Linked DNA regions of Xenopus tropicalis. The protein of the gene in region 1 binds, or shares a complex with, the protein of each later gene. Links are inferred from orthologs where the notes say so. Each region holds a gene or a part of one and is shown on either strand. Other genes may lie near its edges.

Region 1 (4,012 bases):
TGCTCTATTATGGATATTAAAAGTCAACAGAAAGACCAAATAAAATCAAGGGTTGACTTCTAAAATCCAATTTTATTGGGAATCCCCTATTTCAGTGAATTAAGTGACATCATTAAACACCATTTATACAGGTAATAATTTACCCCCCACTGTAAAATATGAGGGTATTAAAAGTCACCAAGGCATTTCAAAAAACATATAAAAGGAATAAGGTCATGGAATTCAAAATAATTTCTAAAAGTACACAACTTTTGGACAGTCATGTGATGCTGATGACTTCACTGAGCACTGATTATAAGTGATGACATCACTGAGCTCCATTTATAAGGCTATATTTACAGAATGTTCAAGGATCCTGAGTATTATAAGGGGGGAGATGTGAAAAACCAATACTTTTGCTGAAATTATTACATAACTGCCAGGCACCATCATGGTCAATGTAATTTCACTGCAGATGCTGGAAGAACAAACATTCTTTATTGAATGTAAGAAGTTTCTCCAATCTTATTCTCACATAACAATAAAGGTGATGAGTTGAACTAAGGGAACAGATTAATGGCAATACCGGGCAGCCCTGTGTGGAACTGGGGTGGCCAGTAGCCAAGCAAAGATACATACGTGTTAGCGCATTAAAAGTGATGTGCAGCTAACACACCCTGTTATCCTAATGCTGCCCATGGAACACACTGGGATATTAAACCAGTTAATTATCTGTAGAGAAGGCAAGTCAGCCCCTCTGCCCAAGTCACTTACCGGGCTCTAAACCCTTTGACGCAATGAGACAGGAAAGCGGCGAATGCTGGGAACTCCTTTAGGTCAGCGCAATAATCCCCCCAGGCTCAAGCACAGTTACTCACAGCAGAACAACTTCACCGGTTCTATTCCAGGGCGAGCTTCCTGTCACCACACAACGCCTGAGTTTTTTACTGATGCCCAAAATATCAGCATCCGAGTCCCAGAGGCGCTGTACAATTCCAGCCCCTGTTCCCCTGATCCTTCTCTCCCATTTTCATCTCCATAACCACCGCTTGACAACAACCTAAGCACAGCGCAAGCGCGAAATGACGAACGCAAAGACTTCTGGGATATGGAGTTCGCCGAGGTTCTAGGTTCTGCAGCAGAATGTGGCGAGTGCGCATGCGTTGTCTTCTTAGCGATAAGAATAACAGGAAATGCTATGAATGTAACTAGTAACAAGTGCGGCAATATGGGCAGTAATTGTACATCTACCGAGAAAAAGATCCGGTGTTATAAAATCAGGACATTGCACAGCCAGCAGAAGTACGGAATTGCCTGCAAGAACCTGGCAGAGCTAAAGCAGAAGGCATGCAGGAAGTTTCAGGTGGCTACTGACTGCCATTCAGTGTTTGTATGTGTAAGGGCACCGGGATATGGGCTCTGCTGCCCACACACCCGCTGTTTCGGTCCTGAGGGGAGAGAATGGGATTGACATTATTTTGGTACCCAAGCGGTTGGTTGCTAAGGGACTTCTGTTGGGTTATTCATTTTGCTCTAGTTTGGGTACTTTAAGGGCAAAACTGTTGTTTTGCACAATAAAAGGAAATGTAATTCTAAGTAACTTTTACCTTTTTATTATACATTTGGTTATACTTGGTTATAATGATTTTTAATGATATTTGTAGATGTGATTGCAACCGAAAGCAGGATTTGTTATTGTTATGCCTTCATTTTCTCTGGTTCTAAATATTAAAGCAATGTAGCCCAAACCAATTTCCTCTGTGTCTGTTGATTAGCAGGAGTCAGAAGCAGCAGTGCAGAGCATATAAACTGCCAGACAGATGCTGAAGCAGTTAGATTTATTAAAACCTTTATTGGAACATTGTAAGTAATGTACCGTATATACTCGAGTATAAGCCGATCCGAATATAAGCCGAGGTACCTAATTTTACCTAAGAGAACTGGAAAAACTTATTGACTCGAGTATAAGCCTAGGGTGGGAAATGCAGCCGCTACTGCTAAGTTTCAGTAATCAAAATAAATACCAATAAAATGACATTAATTGAGGCATCAGTGGGGTATATGTTTTTTAATATTTATTTCAAAGAAAAACAGTAAACTAGCTCTGTAAGCGGAGAAGAGGGTCAACAAAAACAATATGAGTTCTACCCCACGCTCATTGCACATTGGCAAACTGGCAGCAGACCCAGTCCCGGAGAACACGTAAGGGCAAATAAGTATTGCTAGTGGGAGTGGGCCAGGGCACTTGAGGGTCTGGTTGCAGGTGGCCTAATTTGCACACAAAGGACAGAGGGTGCTAGTCTGGAGGGACCCATGGCACCTGACTCAAGTATAAGCCGAGGGTGACTTTTTCAGCACATTTTGGGTGCTGAAAAACTAGGCTTATACTCGAGTATATACAGTATATGGCAAAGAGTGGGCTTTTTATTGACAGTGGCTGGTAATGCCCTTTAAAATGGCAGAACATAAACAATGGATGGTAGTGGCTATTAGTTAACAGGTGCAGTTGGGCAGCTTTGTACACGGCTCTGTTCTGTGCTGGGTGGCAAAGGGCAAAAACTAATGACCAACTCTAATGACTGCTCCTAGGCATGGTAAGGCAGTATCCCTTAAATAACCACTTGAACCTGTTGTTGTCCTTCAACAAATATTTGTACAGGGCATCCTAAGCAATCAGTACCCATGTGTGCTTATGTCACTTAACTAGTCTGTGTTGTCCAAATATCATTTGCAGTTGATCCTAATTTTTTTCTTTAATTGTGGCTTTTTTGGTTAAGGACAGACTTGAATAAAAAGTAATACAACAATAATAATATGGGCTCACAGTAAGTTAGCAGTGGTTGCTAGGGTCCCTTATGCTTGGATACATCCTTAATTGTTATGCTAAATAGTTGTCTTATTTTCCAGCTGGATTGTCCCACGACCTGTGTGTGCTTGTATGAGGATGGAACAGAAGTGAGTGAAGAGTACTTGGAGACGGTGCCAGATAATACAGTGCTTTTGTTGCTGACTCCGGGGCAGACATGGCAGGGTTGTAAGTCAGGCTTTACTCTATGTTAGGGCATGAGCAGAAAATGATAAGTTCTGCATATTCTTTTTAATTTACTTGGGATCAGCTTTCAATTAGGCCATTCTCATGTATGACCAAATGCTGCTACTAGGAAAGGGTGACCAACTACCATTTACCTATACTGCAAAGGAACAGACTAATAAGAAATGGGTTAAGCCATCCCCATGTTCAATTTCATTAACATAACTAGGCAAATGGACAATTTAAAACTTTAGGGTTCTCTGTATATTGTGTTGCATTATATTTTCTTCTAGAATTCCAACAGTACCACTTTTCAGTTGGGCAGTAGGATATAATTATGAGTATTTTTTCCTAGCATAGTTATGTGACAGGAGACTGCAATGGAAGAACACATGTATATTTATTATAGAAAGAAACGTCTAATGGAATTGGACCAATGGCTCAATCACAGTGGGATCTGCTGAGGGTTTCATGAAATTGTTTCAGTTTATATTGTTTGCTAAGCTACATTTTGTATTGCCACACATTGATTTGGCATCTTCTCACTGTGTTCTTCTTTCTTTGTTATTTGTTTCTTATCTAAAGATGTTTCGGACATTGAGCGCTTCCTAAATGCATTTTATGCAAGGCAGACGTGTATTGTGGAGGCAGCACATAAATTGTTGGCAGATGAGGATGCTCCCAAAAGACAAAAGCTACTTGTAGATTTCATTAGTAACCTGAATGAAAATATCTTGGCAGAGAATCGTAAAGATGATGAATCGTGGTTTGAAGGTAAAATCCTGACTTTTCTGATGCAGCCTACTTAGATACAGTTAGTTATCCCTGTCAGGAGTCACAGAATATGTAGCACTGCATGAAGAAAGCACTGCCAATCCTTTGAGGGGACACCAGGTCAGTGCTGAAATTCAGGACCACATTTGATATAATACAGCTGCTCTATAATGGAAATTCAATGCCAAAATTGTGAAAATCAGCCCATGTGTTGCTAACTCTCTGCAG
Region 2 (4,287 bases), about 33 Mb from region 1:
TTTTCTGCTTTTAGGAGCCTAGAAGATTTCTTTGTTTACCTGGGAACACTACTGCTTTTGTCAGGACAACTTTAGCTTTCTTAAATTTAAATTTTTTTGTAATTCCAAAAAAAAAGCTATACATTTACCTAAAAACTGAAAGCATTAAATAGTTTTCAAATATAGAAACATATTTCAGAAATATAATGCATTATATTCTTGAAAATGCAAGATTTGGAAAGCCTCTAGTCTCCCAAGTGCACAAATAACACATAAGTATAATTTTATTGAGATTTCTGACTTGTACGGGTCACAAAACTTCCACTACAGTATTTTCACTGCTCAGATATCAGAATACTTACTAGTTAACAAACTGCAATATGCCACTAATATTATACAAAGAAACCATATATTTTTGGAAAATACATACAATATTGTAACATACCGTACTCAAAATTGTTACATTTGTTTTTTTCATTCCAACTACCATACTGCAAAGCTTTGTCAAAATTAGCAGTGTTTACCAACTTATATATGACTACAAAGCAGCTTGTTTATATAAACAATAGTAGTCTTTATAATGCAACCACACAGCTTCTACCGGTTTAGGGCAACAGTACATTTTATTTTTTATTACTTTAAATTGCTTTATTTTTTTGGCATTGCTGTGTTTTAAGTTCACTTTTAGCATGTTTCAAAATTAGCAATTTTTAGCACCTTTTTAGTTGGTCTCCATTTCTTATTCTGTATAGTTTTCAAATTATTTGCATTTTTCTTTTGACTCTTTCTGTCTTACAGATGGGGGTCACTTACTCCAGAAGCAAAAAAAAAAACTATTGCTCTGTGAGGCTACAGTTTTATTGTTATTGTTACCTTTTATTACTTATCCTATTCAGGCTACTCCTATTCATATTCCAATCTCTCACCCACACCACTGCTTGGTTGCTAGGGTATTTTGGACCCTAGCAACCAGATAGCTCCTGAGATTCCAAACTGGAGAGCTTCTGAACAAACAGTGATATAAGACATATATAAAAAAAAATGAAAACATTGCTAATTGTATCAGATAAGCACCACACTATACTGTTAAAGGTTAATTTAAAGGTGAAAACCAGATTTATAAAGCTATACATACATACAATATCAACTTTTCATCTGCTCAGTAGAAACAAGAAATGGTTTATTTCCTAACAGTAAGCTAGAAAGTAAAATTGGTTTCATTCTGTTTAGTGCATGTATATTTCTTAAGTAAATAAATAAATACAAAAATAGGCAAGCAAAAGTTACACTCAGCACAAAGCTGAACCCATGTTGAAAAGGGGTGTATAGTACCCCTAACTACACAACTTATCAAAGACTTTCTAAGAACAACTTCTTAAAAAACAACAAAAAAGTTCCAGCTATAAACAGGCAGAAAACGATGCTTAATTCAGACTCTGGCACACACCAGAAATGTTAGAGAATCTCCTATTGTAAGACTACATTTCCCTATATGCACCGCGCGGCTAGAATGCGGAAGTTCCTTAGACTGCGAGTTCAAGTGCAGAAAACGTCAAACAAATCCTCCTTAGGGAGATGGCGAGTTTTCAGAAAGCTTGTGTTGTTAGCCTTCCAGGAAGCAAAGACAGACATGGCGTAGCAGCGGCTTCTCTTGAGGAACTTCTGGAGAAAGGTGTGAGCGTGGGTTGTGTTTTTAGTTGGAAACAGAGGTGCGCGTAGTGATGTCAAATGTGTAGTGTGATGTCCACAGTTGCCTGCCTATATATGTATATGACAGCTCAATATTTCACATATTATAGTAGGTATTGATAAAGTGTGGTGATTACATGTTATAAATATAACGATGATGTGGCTAGTTATAAATAGCAGTAGTGTTGGAATTTGACGTTTTCATGCTGAAATACATTGATATGACTGTTTTACAACTAAGTCTGCGTCTTTGTTTTCTTTGTCAAAGATATTTATTTTGACAGCAAGGCATTTTATTAACAAATCTTCTATATATGTCATATGAAAAATACAATTACTTACATAATATCCTGTGCATAATTTGATACTGGTTATCCAAAAATGTCTGAAGCAGGACACTGGCTTTTCCCAAAAAGTCCTATTTATACAAGCAATACTTCATTTTTATGTATTTGCATTTTCTCTAATAATTAAACAGGACCTGCACTTAATACCTAAGCTAGCATATGTCTGTTGATAGCAAAACAATACCATAGTTTCTGTAATCTTCAAATTACAGAAAGATTACATATACCAAAAAAAACCCCACAAAAACAGAGCAAGGTGTAGATCCCATACCTGTATTTGGAATACTCAGCGCTGAAGAGTTTGTTGACCCTTTATAAGTATGATCTGATAATAATATATTATTTTAATAAACTAGGTAGGAATCAGTATATTTAATATTCATTATTTAATCAGTTTCTAATGTCACATCATGTTTACTAGTATCACACTTTTCTTCTTTAGCATGTAAGAAGTTTTCTCTTGACTCATCAGTGGAGCCCATCACACTTGTCCTTGCAGAGGATGGCACAATTGTTGAAGATGAAGACTACTTTCTCTGCTTACCTCCTAACACAAAGTTTGTGATCTTGACTGGCAACAAGAAGTGGGCTCCCACAACATTAGGTAAAGTTACATTCTTTATATTTTAAACACTGGACTGCCCTAAAAGGGACACTGTTGTCATAGTAAAATATTTTTGGAAAATATTAAATTAATGTTTAAAATTATCGCAGCTATTTCTTGTGTATCGTAAGTATCTTCTCATTCATGTAGCATTCAGCTTTGATCCAGTCTTGCAATTCTAGCTCATTCTCACCGCAGTCTGAAATTGTCTTTGTTTTCTTATATCACAATCCTGCAGCCTTATATTTTATAAAATATGTGGGGGAAGCCGAAAAATTGCATGTACAGTGGATCACTTTGTTCTCCTAGTAATGTGGGAGTAAAAGTAGGACAGTAGATTTATATTGTGTAGTTTGCTACAACCAAAAGAGTGGAGACCATTAGGGTTAGTACCTAGGGGCAGTAAGCATGCTACTAGAATCACATGGGGTGCCAAGTTATTAGGCACCCCAGTGATCCTTCCTTACACTGTGCCCACTGTGGGCAGTTGGAAATGGGTTCTTATGAACTGCAGGGCTTAATGTATTAAAAAAAAAATATTTATTAAAATTATTTTTAATGATTACGATGTTTTGTGCACCTGGTTTACATAACCCAACTAAATAAGTTGGTTACAAAATGGATGGTATATTTTTTCTTTAAGAAAATGTAAAAAAAAAAAGCTGAACCAGGACAGAAAAATATCAGACAAGAAACATGAGTGCTTTATACGAAGTAAAGAGACATCTCTTTCCTGTATAAATTTTAACAGAGCATTTCTATTCAAGAAGGGGTCACTGTTGCTGTTTTCAGTATTTCCACAAGAAGTTTCCAAAGACCAATGTTAAAGATTTTGCAGCTGTTTAACTGTGCAACATTCCTGTTCCAGATGGAGGAACTGCATGGTTAGCAAGGGATTCCATGGAGGTAGAAGATGAGAATATGGTTGATGGTGCAGATTTAACAAGATGGAAAAACTTGGCTTTGCAGCTTAAAGAAGATCTGTCTAACATCATTCTTATGTCAGAATCTGAACTTCAGGTATTTAAGCATAGTGTTAGCATCTATGAAACAGTATATTGTAAAATGTTTCTTAAATATAAGATGATTGTTACATTATAATCTAACAATTTACATTATAATCTAATAATGTTACAATTAATGTCAGGGGTATTTCTTATTCACTTCACAAATATTACAGGCAAATACCTTATTTTGGTTATTATTAAACTTACTGTCCAACCATTTCTGTGGACTTGCCACTTGGGGGAAATTTTCTATAGACTATCCTCCCATTTGCATTAAAGTATTAAGTATTATTACCAAACAAAATTACTTGTTGAGCTCTGGTGGGGTTATTATATTTCAGTGATATTTTGACACTGTCTCAATCATGGGGGGGGGGGGGGGGGCAAATGTTAGGCACCCCTCATAATTGTAATAGCTTACTTGATACCCTGGGCCGGTGCTCTTGCTAGCAGAAAACTGCACTGGACATGGGTGTTTCTGCAGAAGTTATTTGGCACAATCTTTCTTCTTCTCACTTCCTTTTGTAGGGTGCAGGCATTGCGCACTAGGCTGAAAAAGCTGACTTTTCATTTCTAAGTTGAGCCTTCACTCTACTGTGCATGCAGAGTTAGGTCCTACACTAACTTTTATTAAGAATTATTAATTATTAAGAATTCTATG

The links. Proteins that work in one complex are often made in the same cells at the same time.
Region 2: the proteins of dffb (region 1) and dffa are in contact, whole or in part, in an NMR structure (PDB 1F2R), measured with the Mus musculus proteins. The link is inferred for Xenopus tropicalis from reciprocal best matches to the Homo sapiens genes DFFB and DFFA. Residues at the interface, in NP_031885.3 of Mus musculus: Cys10, Lys12, Arg14, Ala19, Cys20, Lys21, Phe22, Gly23, Val24, Ala25, Ala26, Arg39; in NP_001020467.1 of Mus musculus: Asp66, Thr68, Ile69, Val70, Asp71, Asp72, Asp74, Tyr75, Trp94, Tyr96, Asp100.

Annotation. Positions count from the first base shown.
Region 1 is NC_030683.2:96,870,694-96,874,705, forward strand, and holds the start of dffb (DNA fragmentation factor subunit beta), read left to right. Parts: upstream 1-1,203; 5' UTR 1,204-1,207; coding exon 1,208-1,342; intron 1,343-2,886; coding exon 2,887-3,013; intron 3,014-3,595; coding exon 3,596-3,784; intron 3,785-4,012. UniProt on the Homo sapiens protein: Nuclease that induces DNA fragmentation and chromatin condensation during apoptosis. Degrades naked DNA and induces apoptotic morphology.
Region 2 is NC_030683.2:64,041,868-64,046,154, reverse strand, and holds the start of dffa (DNA fragmentation factor subunit alpha), read left to right. Parts: upstream 1-1,487; 5' UTR 1,488-1,554; coding exon 1,555-1,651; intron 1,652-2,457; coding exon 2,458-2,619; intron 2,620-3,487; coding exon 3,488-3,639; intron 3,640-4,287. UniProt on the Homo sapiens protein: Inhibitor of the caspase-activated DNase (DFF40).